Linked DNA regions of Diceros bicornis minor. The protein of the gene in region 1 interacts with the protein of each later gene in a biochemical or structural test. Links are inferred from orthologs where the notes say so. Each region holds a gene or a part of one and is shown in the gene's direction. Other genes may lie near its edges.

Region 1 (7,106 bases):
AGCCCCCGACCGTCCCTCCACCCACCCCCAGGGCCAAGACGAAGGATGGAAATGTTTTGGGGCATTTCAAGGGCACAAAGAAGCAGGCTGGAAGGCACGAGGTTGCGGGGCCTCCCCGCAGACAGTCCCCGGGAAAGGGCAGGGATGGGGGGGCGAGTGACAAGTCCTGGAGGCGAGGGATGGGGCGTCGAGCCCTTCCCGGGCGGGGCGGCGGCGCCGCCGGAGACGAGGGTCTTAGCGCGGGCCCGCCCCCGGGAAGGTCCGGCTCCCGAGAGCCGCCGCCGCCGGTTTCCGAGGCCCCGCGAGTCTCCCCAGCAGCGCCCTGCGCCCTCGTCCGGGGCGGGAGTCTGCTCGCCTCGGGCAGGCCGCGGCCCTGCTTGGCCACGGGAGACGCGGGAGGGACAAGGCCTCTTAGGTCATTACCCCCACCTCCCGTCCGATTTCTTTGCCTTGGTTGGAGGTGGTTATTTTCTCAATCTGGGCGCCCACTCCACGACACTCGGCCAGGGGCCTGAGCCAAGAGGCCATGGAATTCCTAGTAGACTTTGGGGTTTCCTATTGCTTCGGGCACCAGGCGATGCGTTTTGAGGGCCGGAGGTCAAGGAGTTAGAATCTTCTTTCGCCCCCAAGTGTGCACCTTTTCCCTTGGGATCCCAGAGGCGTTGGGAGTCAGCCTCCCCCCCCCCCCCACGTTGGGGTTTGGTTTTTAACTCCAGCACACACCTCGCCCACCGCCTTCAGAGGTGGGGGAGGGGTGTCCCGGCCCCGCAGCCTGCCCGACCCAGGACGGGGGCACGCGAAAGAGGGGTAATCTGTGTGTGCCTGAAATTAACTGATCAGAGGCGGAAACGCACGTCCGTGGCTTGGGGCGGTGGGAGGTGCGGCTGCCCCCGTTCCCAGCGTGTGACTGTCCCGGGTGGGCGCCTGGGCCAGAGTTCGCCCCAGCGCGTCCCGCAGCTTTGGGGCGCGGGGGATCGGCACCGCGTAGCCCAGGAGCTACCGCAGCACGTGGACCGCCATGCGTGCCCCCAAAGCGAGAAGCGTGGGGGAAGGGGAGCCCAAGCGCCCCGGAACCCCGCGGCCCACATTCGGAAGCGTTTTCCAGGGCTACTTAAGGGCTTAACAATGGAAAACTCGCGGAGCCGGAGCCAAGTCCTTTCAAGTCGCCGCCAGGTATGCGGCTGCAGGTGACCCCACCTTGCTGCGCCCGCCCGCCCGCCGCCCCGGTCCTCTGGGGAGAGGGCGGGTGTCAGAGGTCAACGTTGGTGGAAGGTCTCCACTGGGGTCTGCAACCCCTTCCCAAAGCCCCTCACTGGGCAGCGCGCAGCCGCGGTGCGTCCCGGAGTCGGCGCCGCGGCGCGCTGGTTCCTGAATGAACGCACTCCCTTCCCCCGCCTTGAATGAAGATTCCCACAGCCAGGGACGGTGGCAAACGCGCCTGCCGCGGAATTCGCCCTCTCCGGGTGGACGATCCGCCCCGGCCGTGGTCGCCCCAGTGGGGGGCCGGGGGGCGAGGAAAGTGGGAAGGTGATTTAAGTTACTTTTGGATTTTCTTTCCAATCAAAGTGGTTTCCCTCCCGACTGTGCCACCAGCCTTTTGTCTCCAAATGGTCACCAAGAAATAAGCGCAGAGCCCAGAATTCGCAGTTCCCGCTTCTTGGTGGGTTTTTAAAGGCAGTGAAAAATTAAAACTGCAACAGAAAACTTTTTAAAAATTGCTTTTCTCTGGGAAAAAAAAATTAAAATCAAAATTTTTATTTTGTCTCCTAGAAGCAATCGCCCTCCAGGGCCCGGGGCTGTTGGCCCCCTCGGGGGCTCCGGGACACGCAGATCGGGGCTCCCCGGGGTGGGGGCTGGGCGGCTGGAGCTCCCTGCCCGGCTCCAAATTCCAGCGCCTCCCCCGCGGGTTCCTGGACGGCTCTTCACGCTCGCCGGCTGGGCTTGCACTTTTGCGCCCGTCCCTGAGCGGGGAAATCAACGAAGTTCCTCGTCGAGATCTGCCCGGTCCGCCTAGTAACAGCGCCGCGCCCCCATTGGCTCATGCTAATTCCAGTTTCCTCTGTCTTTCTCCCGGGTTGGGGGGAAGCTCCCTCCTGGACCTGGAGCCCCTTTTGCCGGAGTGGGCGAGCCTCCTTATGCCCCGCTGCCCCTCGCTGTCGCCCGCCCGCCTCGGGCAGGGCCGGGGCGCACGCGAGGCTCGGGCCCCCACGCCCCCCGGGACGGGAGTCGCCAGGCGAGAGCGCGCGGCCCCATAAATCATCGGGGCGGCCGCCCGGTCGGGATTTTATGAATGAAAAAGCAGTCGGCAGCCCTCGTGCGCGGGCTGATGCTCCGAGGCTCCGCCGTGCCCCCGGGCCGGCGTGAGCGTGGGTGCCCGGGGAGGGGGACACGGCGGGGGGCGCTCCCTGTTCGGGCCACCCACCACTTCGGAGGCGTGAGCCGGGGGTAATTACCCTCCCGGACCCTGAATATTAGTAACCCTAATTCCCGGCGGGGGAGGGGGCGCAGGAACAATCAGCCCCGAAAGGGCGGAGAGTCTTATCTTGCTGCGTGCGCCCTTGTGAAGGGGAGGGGGCTTTTTTATCCGTTTTCTTTGCGTCTTTACTGTTAGGGGATCCGGTGGTTTGATGACACTAAACTGTATTCAGAGGGAAGTAAATGAACAGTTTTCTTAATTTGGGGCAGGTAGTGTAAAAACTGTAAAAAAAAATGTTAAGACTGGGTAAAATGTCTTTTTATTAAAAAAAATGCACCAAGAAGAATCTTTGATTAAAAAAACACTTTATTCTTTTGTATGTCTCTGAAGGTTGCGATAATATTGGGGACCCTCTCATAAAACCACGAACATATATAGATTTTGTTTAAAATTATCAGATCAACACACCCATTTCTTTAACTTAATAATTGTCCTACTTTTTGCAAGCTCCTGCCATCCCCTTCAAGCTCACGAATGCAGCCCCAGGGCAAATTCTAAAGGTGATAAGGTGTCCACACCCCTAACAAAACCAATTAGGACGCTTCCGGTGGTCTTCTCCCAGGCAGAGAGGCGACTAATAGTTCCAGCGATTTAATTTATTCTTTAATTAAAAAGTGAGACAAGACAGAGACCCGTTTTGCAGCCTTCCATTCAGTGGTGTTTTTCCAGCTGTTAAATTGGCGGGACGTGGTGGGGGGGGCATTTGGAGACCCCCGCAAGGATGGACTGCCTAAGGTGGGAAGACAGCCCGGAGATCCCCCCGGCGAGGAGGACAGGATGAAGGAAATGCTGGCCACCATCTTGGGCTGCTGCTGGAATTTTCGGGCATTTATTTTATTTTATTTTTTGCGCTAGCGCATGCTAGGTTGAAATCCCTTTAACGTTTAGGGTTACCCCCTGGGCATTTGCAACGACCCCCCTGTGCGCCGGAATGAAGCCTCCACCGGGAGTGTGGGCTCTGCCCTACGTCCCTGAGCGTTAAATGGTTCCTGAAATTTACACGTGTTAATGAAAATGAAGATGTAAACGCTGAGATTCCTTGGCGGCCTCTTCGCCCGTGGGTGCCCTCGTGGCGTTCTCGGAAATGCGCCCATTCTCCCGGCTCGGATATAGGGTGTCGCCGAGCCCCAGAGTCCCCCCTCCATGCGGTCTCCCCGGCTGCGTGTGGCCTGCCCGCCCTCCTAGTTGTCCCTCTCTGCAGAGCCACCTCCACCCCACCCTCAAAATCCCAGGGGACCCACTCGGGGAGGACAGACCCCCCTGCACCCCTCTTCCCCAGCGGGGAGAAAGGCAGCCATGGGGCGATTTGCATTTCTATGAAAACCGGGCTTCGGGGGCAACTCCGCCGCGGGGCAGGCGCGGCGCCTCCGGGATGGCTTTTGGGCTCTGCCCCTCGCCGCTCCCCAGCGCTCGGCGCCCGCGCCCCCTCCCCCTGCGCCCGCCCCCGCCCCCCCCACCCCCGCTCCCATTCTCTGCCCGGCTTTGATCTCTGCTTAACAACAGTAACGTCACACGGACTACAGGGGAGTTTTGTTGGAAGTTGCAAAGTCCTGGAGCCTCCAGAGGGCTGTCGGCGCAGTAGCAGCGAGCAGCAGCGTCCGCGCGCTCCGGCGAGGGGCAGAAGAGCTCGAGGGAGCGCGGGGCAGCAGGAGCGAGAGCCGAGCCCAGACCGAGCCCCGGGGACCCACCGCCCGCCCCAGGCCACCCAGCAGAGCCCCAGCCATGGCACACCAGCTCCTGTGCTGCGAGGGGGAGACCATCCGCCGGGCGTACCCCGATGCCAACCTCCTCAACGACCGGGTGCTGCGGGCCATGCTCAAGGCGGAGGAGACCTGCGCGCCCTCGGTGTCCTACTTCAAGTGTGTGCAGAAGGAGATCCTGCCGTCCATGCGGAAGATCGTGGCCACATGGATGCTGGAGGTGCGGGGCTTCGGCGGTTCTCTTGAGACTTTCCTGCAACTTGTTGCTCAGACCCACATTTCTTTGCCACTCGTCTCCCTCCCTTCTCTCTCACCCCAACTTTGAAGTTTGCGGGACTGTTGCTAGGAGTCGTATTTTCAAAATACATAGATATTGTGGGTGTTTTTTGCACGAGGAGGGGGTGGGGGAATTAGAAATACTCTTTCCTGGGGGGGGCGGGGAGCGGTCGGGGAGGGGTGCCTTCGGGGAAAGCCCGTGCCAGGGGCACCCCAATTGACTCGAGGGTGCGGGCCAGCAGGCTGGGCGCCCCTTATGGTCCCCTCCTGGGCCGCCACCGCGCACCCCCGCCTGCGCCCGTGCCCGGCTGTGCCTCCTCTCCCGGCCGCGCGGCCACTGAGCCGCCAGCTCCAGGGGGAGGGGGCATAGATTTGATTTTTAAATTAATACCCATGGACACGTATGCAAGGGCCGCTCGTGCCAGTATTATGCGCCATCTTTGTTCTTTTATTGCAAAGCAAAAGTGTTTATTAATAATTGGGGGCAGGGTGGGGGCGGGGAGCGGCCGGCGAGGCGCTGGGGCCGCCGCGAGGGGCCGCGCGGCCGCCGGGAGGGGCGCGGGGACAGAGCGCGGGCAGTTTTGGGGGGACCCCGCTCGGGAAGGGGGGCCCCTTTGTTCAAGCACCGAGTCCCGGGGCGCCCCGCACTGCCAGCCTGGGCCGGAGAGCACGCCGGGCTGCAAGGTCGCGTGGCCCCCAGGAGGCTAGGGACTGACCCTTGTCTGCAGGGGTCTCAGCTTGGGGGACCTGTGTGGAGCGAGCCGGGGGCCCGGGTCACATTTTCAGGCTTTCAGTGGGTGCCTGGGGCGCCCGCAAGTATTTTAAAATAATTTTTGAAAGTGCGGCGTGGTGCCCTTGCGAGAGGGAAGCGGCGCCCGCGCCCAAGGGGAGGGGGGGGGGCCGAGTTTTAATTCCTGGGGCTCTCCCCCGAGCCTGCAACGAGCTCCCGACCCCCGGACTGGGTAAAGGGCCGTCCGAGGGTCATTTTCATGGGTTTTTTATGTACTCAAATAATTTTTTTATATTTTTAAATATTTTTTGAAAAGATGACGTCTGGGGAAATGCGGCGCGGCGGCCTGGGACGCCACCTTTGTGTCTCGCAGGCGCAGCGAGCGCGGCGCCCGGCCCCGCGGTCCGCCCCGCGGCCCCGCACCCCGTTTCGTGCCGACCCCCGGCCAGGCGGGCCCCGGAGCCCCCACGCGGGCCGGGGTCTCGGGGGCTGGCAGCCCGCGCGCGGCGCATGCCGCCCAGCCGTGCCCGCTCCCGCCCCCGCCGTGCCAGCCTCGCGGGGACTTTCCCTTTCAGTTTCAGGGTGGGTGGGTATTGGGGACACCCGGGGGAGGGGGCGCGTCCCCGGAAGCGTCTGCGGCCCCCTGCCGCGACCCTCGGCGCGCTCGGGGCCCCGCGGGCCGGCGCGCGCGGGGTGGGGGGCGCGGGGTCTCCGCGGAGGGGGCCCGGCGCGCGCGCGGCGGCGGTCACGGCCCCGGTGCCCCGGCAGGTCTGCGAGGAGCAGAAGTGCGAGGAGGAGGTCTTCCCGCTGGCCATGAACTACCTGGACCGCTTCCTGTCGCTGGAGCCCGTGAAGAAGAGCCGCCTGCAGCTGCTGGGGGCTACCTGCATGTTCGTGGCCTCCAAGATGAAGGAGACCATCCCCCTGACGGCCGAGAAGCTGTGCATCTACACTGACAACTCCATCCGGCCCGACGAGCTGCTGGTAACCCCGCGACCCCCGCCGCCCACCGACGCCCCAGTAGCCGCGGGACCCCGGGGGTGGGGGAGGTGCAGAGGTGGGGGGCCCCGGCCGGCTGCTGACAGACCCTGGGCCCCGAGGGCGGGCGGCCACACTGCTTGGGGGCCCCCGCCTCGAGGAGCCGGCGCGACCCCCGGCGCCCCCCGTCCCCGCCGCCGTCCCCGCCGCCCCACCTCGCACTTTCGCTCGGACTCCCACCGCGTCTGCGCCCCGGACGCGCCCGAAAAGTGGGCGGCGCGCGCCCTCTAGCGGCGGCAGCGCGTTTACGACCGGGCGGCGTGTCCCGGGTGTGGGAGGTCTTTTTTGTGTCCACTTGGGAACAGGCGGCTTAACCGTGAGCAGGAGCGTTTGCCGGCGGCACCTTCTCTTTTTTGACCTGGGATCGCGTGTTGTCCCCCTCTTCCTGGAGCCCGACATCCCCCATCCCTTCTCTCCAGGCCCCTGTCCCCCCGCCCCCGCGGCTGCCCTGCGCGCCTCTTTATGCTCGTCCACCCCGTTTCCACAGCAAATGGAGCTGCTCCTGGTGAACAAGCTGAAATGGAACCTGGCAGCCATGACCCCGCACGATTTCATCGAGCACTTCCTCTCCAAAATGCCGGTGGCGGAGGACAACCAACAGATCATCCGCAAGCACGCGCAGACCTTCGTCGCCCTCTGCGCCACAGGTAGGGCGGCTGGCCTGCTGCCCCGGCCTCCCTGGGGGTCCCCCGGCGGAGCTTCCTGCCCTCTGACTCAGTTTCCCCATCTGATGCTCCCCCGGCCCCGCCTGCCCTGGGAAGCGCTCCTCCGTCTCTGTTCTGTTGAGCAGAGGGCTTGGGCGGTTTGTGCTGGATGGAGGGGTGCTGCCCCCCGGGGGCGGGCGGCTACCATGCAGTGCCTTCGCGATGGCGGTGGTAGGCCGGCC
Region 2 (7,382 bases), on another chromosome or scaffold:
CACTTTCTCTAATTTAAAGGAAAACACTTAAGAGATTTTATATGACCAGAAACTCCAAAGGAACCAATAGTGTGTTCTGGCAGCCAGAAAACCTGATACACCTAAAGCAATATTAATAGAAGTCTAGAGTGATAAACAAGGGTATTGATTATTCCACTGAAGTCTGTACCAGTCAGTCCACGACTCAAATAATAATTTTATGTCTACATGTTGAGTTTCAAGTTATGTTGTCAAAAGGCAGTGTGTTCAAGAGAAAGTTATCTGGGTGATAAGTAGGATGGAAAGTCCTATAAGATATGGTTAAAAGGACTAGGCATGTTTAGTTGGGAAAGGGAAGCCTTAGGAGGACAGAATGGTTATCTTTAAATATCTGAAGGACTCTTAAGTGAAAGAAGGATTGCTTTTATTTTCTGAACATAACCAGAACCAATGGGCAGAAGTTACTGAAATGCAGATTTTGGTTTAATAGAAGGAAGAATTTGTAACAGATATGTCCAAAAAGAAAATCAATTGGGCTACTTTATGAAGTTCTCAGTTCTCTGTCACTCAAAATGTCCCAAAAGAAGTTGACTAATAATCTTAAAAGAATTTAAATGGGATGGGGATTTGGACTAAATCAGAGGCCTCCATTTTTTTTCTAGCTAAGGAAACTTTTCTTTCCTTTTCTTTTTTTTTTTTGAGGAAGATTACCCCTACCATCTGTTGCCAATCCTCCTCTTTTTTGCTGAGGAAGATTGGCCCTGGGCTAACATCCGGGCCCACTCTTCCTCCACTTTATATGTGGGACACTGCCACAGCAGGGCTTGATAAGCTGTGCGTAGGTTCGCGCCCAGGGTTCCGAACCTGAGAACCCTGGGTCGCCAAAACGGAGCACGTGAACTTAACCGCTATGCTGCCAGGCCAGCCCCTGGGAATCTTTTCTTTTAAATAAAGCTCATGTGAAAATTCCAGTTACAAAACAGATCAATGTGATGCTGTTCGGGTTGAAGTCTGAGTAGGATCCTTTCTTTACTCTTTTTATTCTCAACTAGGTATTAAGATTCATGAGAGTAGACAATAAAAGACCATAATTTTAATAATTTATATTTACAATGTGCATCCCCCATAGTATATTACTTGGGGTTTGATAAATATTTGTTGAATGAATGAATGAACAAATGAATATATCAATAGTTACTTCTCTGAGGCATGCTATCATTTTTAATTGATGGCAATCCTTTAACCAAAAATTGAATTCTTCAAGTGAGGGTTCTTATCCTGGGGGTCCACAGATCTCTAAGAGGGGCATATGAATGGATCTCAAGAGCTGTATGAACCTATCTAAATTGTATACCAAATTTGGGAGCATGTGCATTTTTCTGGTAAGAGAATCCATAGCTTTTGTCAGATTTTCAAATGGGTCTGCAACCCAACAAAGTTAAGGATCAACCACTTTAATGGAAGAATTTCAGGTATCCACCACAGCCTGGTAAAAGATATATTTTGGGACAGGGAGGTCTTCTGGACACTCCTCAAATCATATACACACATGCTCTCTTGATTACAGAGAATAATTGAGGGCTCAGACCACTAGACTTTCCTGAACACATCATACCCCTAGTATTAAGACTACTTCCAAAGGAAGGTTCCCCGGCCATCACCACCACACCAATAGCCTTAGATCCCCTGCATTTAGTCTCAGATTGGGTGGGGTGATGCAGTGATTCCTCTTTGGGTTGTTCCAAGATTAGAAACAAATGCTTTCTTTTCATGGGCCTCCCCTGTGCAGAGGGTGGGGAGACTTTGGGGTTCCGTGACAATGGCAGAGGTTTCTGTGTGTGTGCCCCTGTGTATGCACACTTAGTCCCTCAGAATCAGAGACCATTTTCAGTGGACAGACCTTAATATGGGAAAACAGGGCTTTAGGCAACTCTCTCCAGCCAAAACCTATTTTCCCAACCCCTATCCAAAACAGGCCAGACAGTCTGGAGACCCTTGTTTTTGTGTCTCTAATCACCAGCTCAGACAGTGCCCTCTGGGCTGTTTGGATGGCATATCCCTTTTCCCTCCCAGGATCACTCTCTCTTTTGTTGCATTGTGAGAAAATTATGGCTAGGAATTTGATGGGGAGCCAGTGTCAGCTTCCGGGTGTGATCTCAGCATGCAAGTGTGAGCTCAGGGTGCTGTGACGTTGGGCACATCTAACTGAGGAGATTTTGTCTAGCTGGCTATTGACCTCCTCTCCCCCTGCCCATCCCATCCTCCAGGCCACAGAATAGGGAGCAGCACAAACAAGGCCCTGAGATTTGGGTTTATTAAGCTCCACCCAGAACTAAACCAAAGGCTACCACATGTCCCAAGGGACCAAACCATACATTGTGGACCATGCACTTTTCCCTTTCCCCAAGGATGCTGCTACCTCTGGGGTGGTGGGCAGCTGCTTGTATCACGGCAGTAGATAGAAAGGAATTCGCAGGGTGCTAGGTCTGTGGCACTCAGGGCTCAACTCTGGCTGCCTCCTCCTCTTCCTCCGGATCAGGAGGCGCAGGGAGCAGGGAGATGTAGACCTCATTGACCTCTGTGTCCAAATGTCGGCCACCCCGAGGCGCCTCCAGGTTAAGGATGCCATCATGGGAGAGAGCAGCGCGGACCCGCCAGGGGTCGACATCAGCAGGCAGGACGTAGGTGCGGCAGAACTCTCGCGACACGAAGCCGTGGCGGTCCAGGCGCTGGGGGTGCCGGGCAGACACCTCCAGCAGGTTGTCCACAGTCCTCACAGTCACCTCATCTGGGGTAAAGTGGCTCACATCCAGAAATGCCTGGAACTTGCCCTCACTGAGCCTGAGCTCGGAAGCCCCTGCCCTGCTGCCCTCCCCAGCTTGGGCAGCCCGAGGCCGGACATAGTAGCCATGGTAGAGGGTGGGGGTCAGGATTTCTTCTGGCAGGAGGCCTGAGGGGCAGAGAGAGAGAAGGCAAGAGGCAGGATAAGGGAGCGTGAAGGGGGAACAGGGGTGAAATGAGAGGAGATCAGGAGGTGAGGACTGGGGAGAGCAGGAGGGGAGTCAGGAGAAGCAGGGAAGGGGAGGCAGGGGGACACAGCGGCTAGGAGGCAGCTGGGGAGAGGGGATTGAGAAAGGAACCGAGGTGGGGGTGGAGGAGAGCAAACCAAACCGGGACTGGGTGGACCGAAGGGGAACAAGGCACGCTAGGGGCGGCAGGGGGCAGGTCTCAAAGCATTGTGGGCTCCAAGTCTGCACTGAGGTCAGTAGGAAGGGGAAAGAGCTCTGCTTGGAGGGGGGCAAGGGGGAGTCTGGTGCGGGAGATGGCTTGCCCCAGTAGTTCAGTTAAGCCCAGAGTGGGGTGGAGGCCAGTACCGTTGGGAGGTCAGCCCAGAATTTCAGGAGGTGGGGGTGGGAGGCAAGGGGGTGGCGTCTGTGCCATACCTTCTCCGAAGCGCTGCTCACCCAGGCGGCTCGGGTTGGCAAATTCGTACTCAGCGGTGGCCGGGTGGGCATGTGGCACCGAGCGGCCCGACATGGCTGCAGACGCGTCGGCGGCCCTGGTCCGAGGTGCAGCCCCAGCGACGCAGCGGGACCCCTCCAGCTGCCTGGAGAGACAGGGCTCTCTTGGAGGTGGGGGCGGGGTCTACACCACCCAAAATAGTGCCGAGCCTCGGGAGGAGGGGCGGGGAGCCCGGGCCCTGAGTGCCAGCGACGAATGTGACCAGCAGCGCCTGGACCCCCGTTCCCTCCCCCCCGCACACCCTTCAGCTGTTGCAGGGGGCCTGAGAGGACAGCTGGGGGTCCTGGCTGGGGAGAGAGCTGCAGAGGGGAGGCTGGTGCCAGAGGCCCTGGAGAGGCTTAGCTGAGACCCTCACAGTTTGCACATTTTCCACACCACCTTTTCTCCTCTTCAGTGGCAGGCACTCTGCATCCTACTTCATAAAGCTCTCATGGATTTAATGTTCTGCGAGCCATGTAAGGTGAAAGATACAAGAATACTTTCTATCCTTTTTGGGGGTGTAGGATGAGGGGTCTTCCTGCCCAGATTAATGTCAGGGTCCTCTCCTGAACCCAGGTCAACCTAGGGTACTACACAGATGCATGGCACTGACATGTTGGTGATCACTGCTCTCCTCTAGGAACCCACAAAGAGTTAATGTCCCTGGGGCCCAGCCTAGGAAGATTCCAGTCCCTGCCCAGGCCCAAGATAGTCGCTGGCTGGGTTCCTCTGGCATGCTAGGCTGGAGAGGAGGAGGAGGGGCACACTGCTGCCTGTTTGGGATTCCTGACTTTGTCCCAACTCCAGAGAAGGGGGGTGGCAAGGGGCCATTGGGTGTGGACAGAAGGCTAGTGAAACAAGACCAGGACAAGTCACTGGCCAGCTCAGACGTGTTTGTATTTCTCTTTTCTTAGCTCAGTGAGTACTGGGTATGTGTCACACTGCCAAATCCCGAATCACAAGTCTCCATGAACGGGCGGTGAGCTGGGATAATAAAACCCCTGACATCACCATTCCAGAAGCTTCACAAGACTGCGTATATAAAGGGGCTGGCTGTAGCTGCAGCTGAAGGAGCTGACCAGCCAGCTGACCCCCCACATTCACCCAGCCACCATGGACGTCGCCATTCACCACCCGTGGATCCGCCGCCCCTTCTTTCCTTTCCCCTCTCCCAGCCGCCTCTTTGACCAGTTCTTCGGAGAGCACCTGTTGGAGTCTGATCTCTTCCCCACTTCTACTTCCTTGAGTCCCTTCTACCTTCGGCTGCCCTCGTTCCTGCGGGCACCCAGCTGGATTGACACTGGGCTCTCAGAGGTAAGTCTCCCCTCTGCCAGGACAGGAGAGTTCTTCCTGGAACCTCCTGGAAACATCTCCATCTGCTCTCCTTTTCCTCCCTGCCTAAATCTGGCTATGTCTAAGGGTCTTAGGCACTTGTGCGTCCAGCAGTGAAGAAAGATAAAGTTACTAACGCCTCCCTCCCCCAGTCACCTGTTTGTATTTGATGTTCCTCTGTATCCTACTTATTGCGTTTTTCCCATGCGCGATGAAGATCATCCTCCATCTCCTAAGTGCGATACTCCTTTCTGGTTTGGTTCATAATGATCTCAGGGAAAGACCTGCCTTCAGACTCATTTGCTCACCTCTTCTGATACCTCATACTCCTGATGAATTTTATTATCTGAAGTTTCAGAGCCAGGAGACAGTCTTAGCTCATCCTGAGCTTTTCATCCCCACTGCGTGGAGCTGGAGACAGCAACCACTATTTTCATCCTTTCTATTCCCTCTTCTGTGATTTTCCGGGTTTCTCAGGGCTGACAGGGCACTGGCCTGGGTCCAAGCCTAAGGAGGAAAGAATGTAGGTCCAGTCTTGGGACCCCCACTTGTCCTAAGAGGGTGGGAGAATGGGGTGAACAGATAAGGTTGACAGAAGCTATCATAGATAACACTCTAGTTTAAAAATATTCAAGTGTGAGTAAACAGGAGCTAAGTAGGCAAGGGCTTTGGAAGGACAAATCAGGGCCAGCAGAACATTCCAGATTGACTGGGTGGGAAACTTGGCAGAAACCTGAGCAAGAAGAAGGGGCCTTTGTCTTACAGACAAATGACAAGGCTGGGCATTGGGGTGGGAGAGGCAGCAGAAGCCATGCCCAGACCCATCCTTGTGATTGGTCCCCTGGGTGGCCTGTCATCTTCCCTGTCCCTGTAAACAAAGTTTGGGCCTTGGGTACCACTGTGGTGGCTCCCTTGAACCAGAGAGCTGTGTTTATTCAAAAAGGGATTTTTAGCCGAAAAGAGGAGGATAAACCTCCTGGACAGAAAGCAAGTCTGCAGAACGATGAGACTGCACTAGTGTAATCTACATTCCTTCCATCTTTTCTCCTACTCCCTCCTCTCCACCTTGCTATTTGTAGATGCGTCTGGAGAAGGACAGATTCTCTGTCAACCTGGATGTGAAGCACTTCTCCCCAGAGGAACTCAAGGTCAAGGTGCTGGGAGATACGATTGAGGTGCACGGGAAACATGAAGAGCGCCAGGTGTGTAGATTGTTTTCTCTTCTGCTCATTCATTCAGTGCATACTGTATAGCAGACACTGCCATCAGCCTCTGAGGCCGGCAACATGCCCATCCTAAGCCATAGGGTCTGGAACCGGGATAGACCTGTTGTTGTTGTTTTGGCCAGAGAAGTGATCTTTGTTGTTTTGATTTGATTGCTTTAGATAGGGTAGATGGGATGTTAACTTCCCATTTAAGCCAGTGGTTCTCAGCTTGGCCACTTCAGAATCACCAGGGGAATTTAAAAAAAAATCCCAATGCTCAAGCATATTCCAGACCAATTAAATCAGAGTTTTTAGGGGTAGGACCCAGGCATCAGCATTTTAAAAATCTCTCTAGGTAATTCTAATGTACAGTCTAGGTTGAGGACCATGGATTTAGGCATAGTGCTTGTCGGACACCTGGTTGCTTTACATAATTATGTTAATTGCATGCACCCTGAAGGCCCTTGAATTTGGGACTTTTCTTTTAGATGTTCAGGAATCCTCTTCTCCTTAGCCCCTCTTAATGCTGAACTACTTGGTTTGCCTAAGTTTCAGAACCGTACTCAGCTCCTAATACACCAGAGCCCATGTGGAAATCAGTTAACTGAGAGCCTGTCTGGATAAATGCTTGAGATTCAGCAGGTGTAAGGGTAGGAGTCAACTATCCTTCAGCAGAATTCTGAAGAATGGCACAGCTTCTCATTATTTTCTGAGAGCGTTTTTTAATGAGTTTGCTTCTTACCAATCAGTGGTAACTCGAATCTTGTGCATCAAACAGTACAGTTTGAGGTCCTCAGGCTGTTTGTTCGCTCAAATGATTCAAGTTTGGGTCATAGTCTCCCTGGATGGAGTCTTATTTTTTAACTTTTTCTAGCAGCAGTCCTCTTGGTCTGGAACATTCTAAGACATTCCTGGAGAGTCAGAACAATTTCCTCAGGGACTCAGATCATCAATGCCAGATGATATTCCAAATCCTGTAGACCCAACAAACATTTATCTGAACCTTTAGAAAATACCCCTCAACATTTCCATGCCTCAGGATTTGGACAGCTGTGAAGTTTTGGCTGTTTCAGACTTCCCAGACTCTCATCGGTAGGAGTGACCACCTAGGCAACTTCATCTTAGCCCCAAACAGAACAGCTATTTAGCTTTCTCTCATGTTGCCATGACCTTTGGTGACACCTAAGGGGAAGGAGGATGTGTTGGTTCTAGGCAAGTGGTGCTATTTCCTGTTCTTATCTCTCTGCCTCTTTCCTCGTTCTCTTGGATTAGGATGAACACGGTTTCATCTCCCGAGAGTTCCACAGGAAATACCGGATCCCAGCTGATGTGGACCCTCTCGCCATTACTTCCTCTCTGTCATCT
Region 3 (7,414 bases), on another chromosome or scaffold:
AAGATACGAGTAAACTTGAACAAATTTGTAGTAGGGTTTAAAAATTGGACCCTCTCTTCAATTTATGGTAAAATGTTTGATCCACAGAGCTATGCTATTATGTCCTTGCCTCCAGACATTCAAAGAATTCTGTAAAGAATTCCGTTCTATATTATTTTCACGAAAAATCCACAATGAGACACGATATAGTTGCATAAATATGGACTCATACATTATACAATTTCATTTAATAAGACGGATTTCATTGCATGCCATTCATTCTGAAAGAATCAGGTTGCCTGGATATGCCATACCTAGAGCATCGAGGCTACATCTCTTGGCCTCAGGACCTAGGCAGGTACTTCCGTCACTCGCCCCTGCTGCCAGGCCATTCACAGAAGTTTCTCCCAGGTGCCTTTCTTTGTCCTTCTCCTACCTCCCAGATCCCACTTGATCATCATTCACTCCCATTGTGTTGTACATTCACTGCTTCATCTGAATGGTCTATCTGAAACATGGACACACCTTTTAGTTCAACCAAAGGCAGCTATAGTAACACAATTGTTAGGCCATGTGTGCCGTTGAGATGCAAGTATCATCTCAGAAAAGAAATGTTAGAAGTCAGTGAAAATTACAGGACACTATAAATGGAAAGGAAATGTAGGTGTTTCAATGTGATTATTGCCATCTTTTGTAAGTGTATTTCCATAGTTATTTTTCTGATTACTCAGAATTTTAATATAGATGATGAAAAGATCTTAAGAACACGTTTCAAACATGTCAAAACAATATGCCAGGAACATACAGGTATTCACACACACACACACACACACACACACAAAGGAAAAAGAAGATAGGAGTGTCTATCAAAAGGAAAAAAAATAGAAAAGATGATGACAATTATACAAATATGAACATAGTACTGACATGTTGCACAGGAATAATTATAGAGCAGTAGAACCTGTGAAAACGGAATGTTCCAAAAGGTAACAATGTCTGGTTTTTTCTCCTTAAATTTTAGAAGCTACTACCTGATATATTTTTTTCCCTCATGGCAAATATCAAAATCTTTCCAAGTTTCACCGCTCAAATGCAATGCACTAGATCACAAACAACAACACAACACAACAACAAAAAGAGAAAAACCCAGGTCATTTCCAAAATGACAAGAAGTAATTTATTTAGAAGATTGAATTTTAAAAAATCATTTAAAGTTCAGAATTTTACAACTGAAAAAGTTGGTAGTACAATCGATTTTTCCTAGGATATTTAGCAAATTTTCAATATTATATTTTAAGGGAAAACCCAAGAAAACATCTTGGAAATGCCTGGGGAGAAAAATGCATTAAAATGCACTGCATTATATTATACTATTTCTGTTAAAATTATAGTTTTTCATAGTAAATTACTCAACAAAGATAACATTTACATACACATATAAATCAAGGTAAAGATGAGGGTAACTGTTTTCAAAATTATTAAACCAGAAAAGTTTTTTATCAAAACAATAAACAAGAGATCTTTAGAGACAAAAAGTATACATTTATATGGACCTCCAATTAAATTACTGTGTAGTAGATTATAGCAAAACTTTATTTCTGAGTTTCTGGAAAATGTATTCAAATAGCCAATATAAATCAGAAATGATTTAGAATTAGATGTACATTATATAACTACTAATTTTAAATAAATTACTCATGTCTTAAACAAAGTTATAAATTATAGACCAGAATTTTAAATTTTATTTTTATTTTAGTGAAAACAAAAATTTACAGATATTTGATATAAAATATTCACACAGAATACATCTCTTACGTGACACTAAGAAAACTTTCAGTATGAGCTACAACATCATATTTGGAGATAAATCCATGAGTTTTAATTTTTAAAAACCTGTAAGATGATTTGCAACTTTAGAACATCTGATATGTAGCATGAAAATACTGGTGCAAATCATTTTTCTTGAATGCTATGTATTCATTCATAGAAAACTCCTAAACAAAGGAGTCGGAATTTGGTTCACAGTTTATAAACTTTGCACAAATTTTGTTATGATAACCTGTTACCCATAGAGGAAGTTATCCATAAACAAAAACAATCTGGCATTTACTAATTTTACACGAGCCATTGTAAAACTTTCTAGTCTGAAGCTTTAGCCAATTGGGATTTATGTGAACCATAAACAGGGAGAGTGAACAATAATAAATTAACAATATTAGACAAAGCAGATGACATAAAAAGAGTTAACACTCAGTATTAACCTATATAATTAAATAAAGTTTCATTGTTTATTACATTGCCCAAGTGGTGTAGTAACCTAAGTCATGGAATTTCTAATCCACCTATGGTTGTTGTCAAATTCAGTAATGAAAAATGCAACCCATGGTAGAAAAGACATTTTTCTGTTAATTTAAAAGATACTTACAGCTTACTATTTTTTAAACAAATTATTTACTCAAATAAATTCTTGCAATCACTTGCTGGTTCCTACGACTATTTATTGACAATTATTTCTAAATTACATAAATGTGTTAATTACCAGAAAGTAAATCTTGTTTCAAAAAGCATTGATAAGTGTGAGCAATTATCAAAATGCAGAAGTCCCTTTTGTCTCTGGTTTAAAGTCTAATTAGTGACTTGTAGTGATCCAAATATTTTATATAAATACAAATCTAACAATTTGCTTTCTTAAGTCTATAAAGTATATGAGATTATAGATATCTTTAAAAATACAAATTTTGTTCAGAAATTGGATTTTATTTTAGAAGATATGCTCCTGAACACAAAATATGTGTCATGAATTACCTTAAGCATAAAGAAACACAATTATTCACTTTTAGCATTTGAGAAAAAATTATTATAATGCCTTGCAAAATATTTGCTAATGGAAATGCAACAATTTTTATTTACCTAACCTGTTACTTCATACTGTAGTATAGAATCAATTTTATAAAGGCAAATTTTTGATCTATTGTGAAATTAGCAAGATGATTTAATTCAAAAAGTCAAAAGATTTATAGAGGTAATCTTTCCAGCTCAAATAGAATTTTGCTGGGTTTTAATTTTTCCACATAGCATTGACATAAACTTATTTTAGCTTTGCTTCAAGATGTTTAAAAGGGTTTTAAGTATTCTACAGATACAGATTTTGGAGAACACTGAATTCTTTCCAGAAAAACAGCTAGTTTTTGTTTTACTCCATTGTAGAAAGTCTTGAAGACTTTTTTCCTCCAAAATCTTATTTTCACCTGAAATAATTGTATTTAGGTTTTCTCAGCAGGTAAAATATACATTCTTACAAGGTTTCAAATTTCAGAATTCCAATAATGCATTTAAACTGAGCACCCACCGAATCACGTTCTCTCCTCTTTGTGTGTGTGTGTCTATTATCTTGCAGTTCTGTTATTTACACTGAATTTTAGTTTTCTTAGCTCCCCAGAAATACCTTAGTGAATCCTCAGCAGTTGCTAACCACTTAATAACTGTGAACCGGCCAGCCCCTTCAAGTAGATCGTTAACCACAGAGTGCCTGACAATTTCCAAATCATATCCTCTTTCCAAAAGGAAAAGATAGGGCTTTGTGAGGCCGAAAGGAAGCGAAGGAAAACAAAACAAATGTAGCTCATGCTGAAAGTGAAAAGTGCTTGGACAGATTAGTATTTTCTTTTCTGCAAGGCATCTTGCCAATTTTTTTTTTTTTAATTGAGAAGAGTTATTTTTTGGTCTGATTTTTCAGTTTCTTGGAAAGTGTTGGTATTTACCATCCCCACCGGCCCCTCATAATTACGGTTGGTTGTTTTGTGTTTTTCCCATCCGTCCACATCACAGAATGCTGATACCCCCGCCTCACTCTGTCAAAACCCCAACTCCGGGCGACCCTGGGTTTGGAAACTCCACCGACTCCCGACGACACATCCCACTCTCTCTCTCACGCCTCTTATTTTAGTCGCAAGATCCCCCACTCCAGTTGCAGCGAAAGCCGGAAATTTTCATTTAACTCCCCTCTCCCCTCCTTCTCGCCCCCCACTCGGTGCCGAGAGCTGCGGAGCTGGGAGGTTCAGAGCCCAGCCGGGTCTCGGCCGCCTCCCCTCTCTCCGGAAGGTTTTAATTTGCACACTTGCTTGCCACTGCGCCGCGAGCCCCCAACACCGCCGCCGGTGGGTCTCGGGCAGCGTTGGCCTCCTGGGCCCCAGTCCCCCGCTCCCGCCCCCGCTGCCTCCCCGGCGCGGGCCCTGAGCCCCGGCAGGAGCCCCGCGGCCCCCGTCCGCCCCCAGCGAGCGGCGCGGGCGGCGCCCTCCGCCGTCCCTCCGCCCTCCGCCGCTGTGCCCACCCCCTCGCGGGAAAGAGTGCTGGTAACTCCTTCCTCCGAGCCGGGTTACCTGCTCCGCGCCGCCGTGGACACGTGCGGTGGTCGGCCCGACACACGCAGCCCCTTCGGGAGGCCGGACGTGGCCGGGCCCGTCAGGTGAGAAGCTGTGCACTCGGGTGGGTGGGCTGCGGGGTGGGGGGTCCCCGGGGAAGATTTGGGGGCTTGGCCAGGGTCGGAAGCGAGAGTGTGGGTGGGGGTGACTGTGGGGGCGGGTTGTATGTCCTCGGAATCGGCTTTGGTTAACCCCTTATGAACCGACGCAGGGTAGTTACGGGGGCCAGTTTTGGGGAGCTAAAGGAGTCTCTCCTAATCTGGCGAGAGGAGGATTTCCCACACTAGGGACACCCCCAACACTGAGATCCTGTGCCTGCTCCTGTATAGCCGTGCGCACAAACACCCCCACAAACACTCCTTATCCAGTTTCTTCAAACAATTTAAACTCCACTCGGACACTCACATAGTAATATGCGTTTAGGGTTTAAAATGCATTGCCTCTGGGGACTCCATGCGGAAGACTGTGTTTCCGTGCCCCATATTTATTTCCTCACGAAAGCTCCCTCTCCAGCTTGCTAGGTGTGGGCGTGGGCTCCACCTTCCCCACCACGAGATAAATGTTAACTCAGGCTTCCTGCTGGCAACCCCTGCGGGCGTGTTATGCACACTTAGAGGAGTGCACGCTGGCGGCTAGTGCCCACGCTTGGAGTCCCCCAAGGATGCATATTTGCTTTAGTTTCCCAGTTTACTTTTATAGTTTAAAATATCGGAGTTGAAATGCACACCCCGCGGTGAGCAGCTCCGGACCCCGCAGGGCGCCCGTCAGTGTGCACGTGGGCGCATCTGCGTGTGCGCATAAGCGGGAGTCGTGGTCCTGGTGCGGCCTCTTGTCGCTGCGCTGGTGGCGACCCTTGCGGTGCTTGGCAGGCTTCGGGAGAGGCACATGAAGGATTTCATTGAGTGTGAAGACAGAGAGCAGAGACAGAAAGCAGAAGGAGGCGGCTGCAGCCTTTGTAGTCGCGGAGGAATGCGGAAATGTTGAAGCACTATGTCAAACTTTTTTGAAATGGGGTCAAGTCACATTCAGCCAGCGTGGGAAAGCAACAACAACAACAAAAAAAAGTGGAGGAGAGGGGGGGAAAAGGCACTGCTGCTCCCGTTTCTCTGCGCCGGAGCCGACCGTCGGGGGAGCGAGGGGGGAGAGCCAGGGCGGGCGGTGCGGGGCCCGGCGGGGGTAGCGGGCGCAGTTCCCCGCGGGGGTGGGACGTCCGCAACGCTGCCTTCGCTGCAGAGCCTCGGGCTGGACTGGGGCGGGAGGAGGGGACGCGAGAGGGGCGGGCTGCGCAGCCGGCGGCGGCTTCTCCGCTACCTGTGTGGCCCTCGGCCTGGCTCAGACCCCCGTGCAGGCTCTGGGGGGCTCGCTCCTCGGCTCCCCCAGGATTCGCTTTCACCTTTTAGGGAGAGTTTTGAACGGAGTGAGTGTGAGGGGCTCTGTCCTCGCTGCAGTCCCCTCCGCCCGCACGCCGTGGGGGTCGCGCCATTTGTTTCTTTAATTCCTGGCAGAAGGCGAGCGGGCAGCAGTTGCGGGGCAGGTAATTCCGAGGTGCCCTGGGAATTGGGGACACGCGGCTGGCGTGGCGAATGTCCCGCCGAGGCCGCGGCGGCTGTGGGTTGGAGGTTGCCTAGTTCCTGGATTGCAAATGAATGGGGAGGGAAAGTGTCCCCTCGGCCCCGCACTTTGTTGTGCGGAGGGCTCCGGGGGGCGACTAGCTGCAGACGAGACCAGGCCTTAAGCCGAAAGAGGAATGGAGCAGCCGCTTCTGCTGCCTACATCGGAGACGATCCTGGGAGTGGGGAAAGGTTCGCGAGTCCTGGCCCCAAGGGCTCAGCCTCTTCTCTCTCACCTCCGGAGGCTCAGCCTTTACTCCCCCCAGCCCCCATCCTTTTTAAGGGGAGGCTGAGTTTTGCTCGGGTTGAAATCAGTTGAAAATTTCAGGACGAGTCACGGTTATGCTACCTTCCTCCTGAAGTTATTCTTTAAGGAGGCGACAAGCTAAAGTGTGGCGAACACCCCTTTCTCCCACCCTTAGGATCCCGTGGGCGACGCCCCCCGTCCAGGCCCCCATCACTCACCCTCCTCTGAGTAGCGGGAGCCCCAGCCCTCCCCGACCTGAAGAGTTTCCACCAGGGAGGTCCTCCGAGTCGGAGGAATTCCGTTTCCAACCCAGACTTCTTTACCCCCAAAAGACCACTTGTGTGTGCAAGTCGTTTTTAAATGTCTTCTCACAGAAAAACTGAAAGTAGAAAGAAAGGAAGCAATTTCCGAGCAGATGTCTGACCACCCCTTCTCGCACACTCCCAGCATCGGGTTACAGGGTCCTGGGAGCCCCCACCCACATTCTGCGGCCCCACACGGGTGGACCCACAGTCCCTCCACAGCAGCTTGTGCACAACGCCTGAACACCCCCATGGCACCCCAGGAGCCCCTCTCCCTGCACGTCCAGGCCCGGGGAGGCCGGGAGCGTAGCAGCGCAACACAATGATATAGGGATAAATATTAAGCAGTGACATTGACGTGCCCGGCGCCTCCCCTCCCCCGCGCTCCCGGCACACTCTGGGCTGCTCGGCACGCCCCCTCCCGTTCCACTGCGTCCCGCGCCGCGCGCTCATCCCGGAGGGGCCCTTGCAACCTCTCCGCGCGAAGACCGCTCCAGCCCTGCAGGGAAAGAAAAGTAACTTCGCTTTTCTCGGAGGAACCAGGAAGGATTAAGCGGCCTGGGAGAGGGCAGGAGCGCGCGGAGGGTAGCGATGGGGGCTTCCTGAAGGAGGAGGAGGGGAGTCTGCGGGAACCCTGAGGAAGGCGCCTGGGATGTCTGATTGCACTTTCTTCTTGTCCTCCCGTCTCCTCTTTTAGGTGGAATGATTGTGGACTGAGACGCACTCGGGCAGAGACTATGTAATCGCCTTGGTGTCTGTGCAGAGGACTGCGCTTCGGGGAGGGAAGAGGAGGGATCGGCTCGCTCCTCGGCGACTCGGCAGGCGGAGTTTCGCAGCGGCACCAGGGTTGCGCCC

What was found.
Region 2: of the proteins of CCND1 (region 1) and CRYAB, one has a biochemical effect on the other in vitro, tested with the Homo sapiens proteins (2 studies listed by BioGRID, with this or other methods). The link is inferred for Diceros bicornis minor from reciprocal best matches to the Homo sapiens genes CCND1 and CRYAB.
Region 3: the proteins of CCND1 (region 1) and CDK6 form a complex in vitro, tested with the Homo sapiens proteins (3 studies listed by BioGRID and IntAct, with this or other methods). The link is inferred for Diceros bicornis minor from reciprocal best matches to the Homo sapiens genes CCND1 and CDK6.

What each region holds. Positions count from the first base shown.
Region 1 is NC_080770.1:4,497,153-4,504,258, reverse strand, and holds the start of CCND1 (G1/S-specific cyclin-D1), read left to right. Parts: upstream 1-4,035; 5' UTR 4,036-4,198; coding exon 4,199-4,396; intron 4,397-5,950; coding exon 5,951-6,166; intron 6,167-6,707; coding exon 6,708-6,867; intron 6,868-7,106. UniProt on the Homo sapiens protein: Regulatory component of the cyclin D1-CDK4 (DC) complex that phosphorylates and inhibits members of the retinoblastoma (RB) protein family including RB1 and regulates the cell-cycle during G(1)/S transition.
Region 2 is NC_080746.1:24,341,800-24,349,181, forward strand, and holds the start of CRYAB (alpha-crystallin B chain), read left to right. Parts: upstream 1-4,332; 5' UTR 4,333-4,593; coding exon 4,594-4,794; intron 4,795-5,891; coding exon 5,892-6,014; intron 6,015-7,289; coding exon 7,290-7,382. Other genes in the region: HSPB2 (heat shock protein beta-2), read right to left, coding at 2,475-2,929, 3,423-3,516. UniProt on the Homo sapiens protein: May contribute to the transparency and refractive index of the lens. Has chaperone-like activity, preventing aggregation of various proteins under a wide range of stress conditions.
Region 3 is NC_080742.1:30,259,371-30,266,784, reverse strand, and holds the start of CDK6 (cyclin-dependent kinase 6), read left to right. Parts: upstream 1-4,347; 5' UTR 4,348-4,444; intron 4,445-5,767; exon of another isoform or gene 5,768-5,934; intron 5,935-7,007; exon of another isoform or gene 7,008-7,144; intron 7,145-7,256; 5' UTR 7,257-7,414. UniProt on the Homo sapiens protein: Serine/threonine-protein kinase involved in the control of the cell cycle and differentiation; promotes G1/S transition. Phosphorylates pRB/RB1 and NPM1.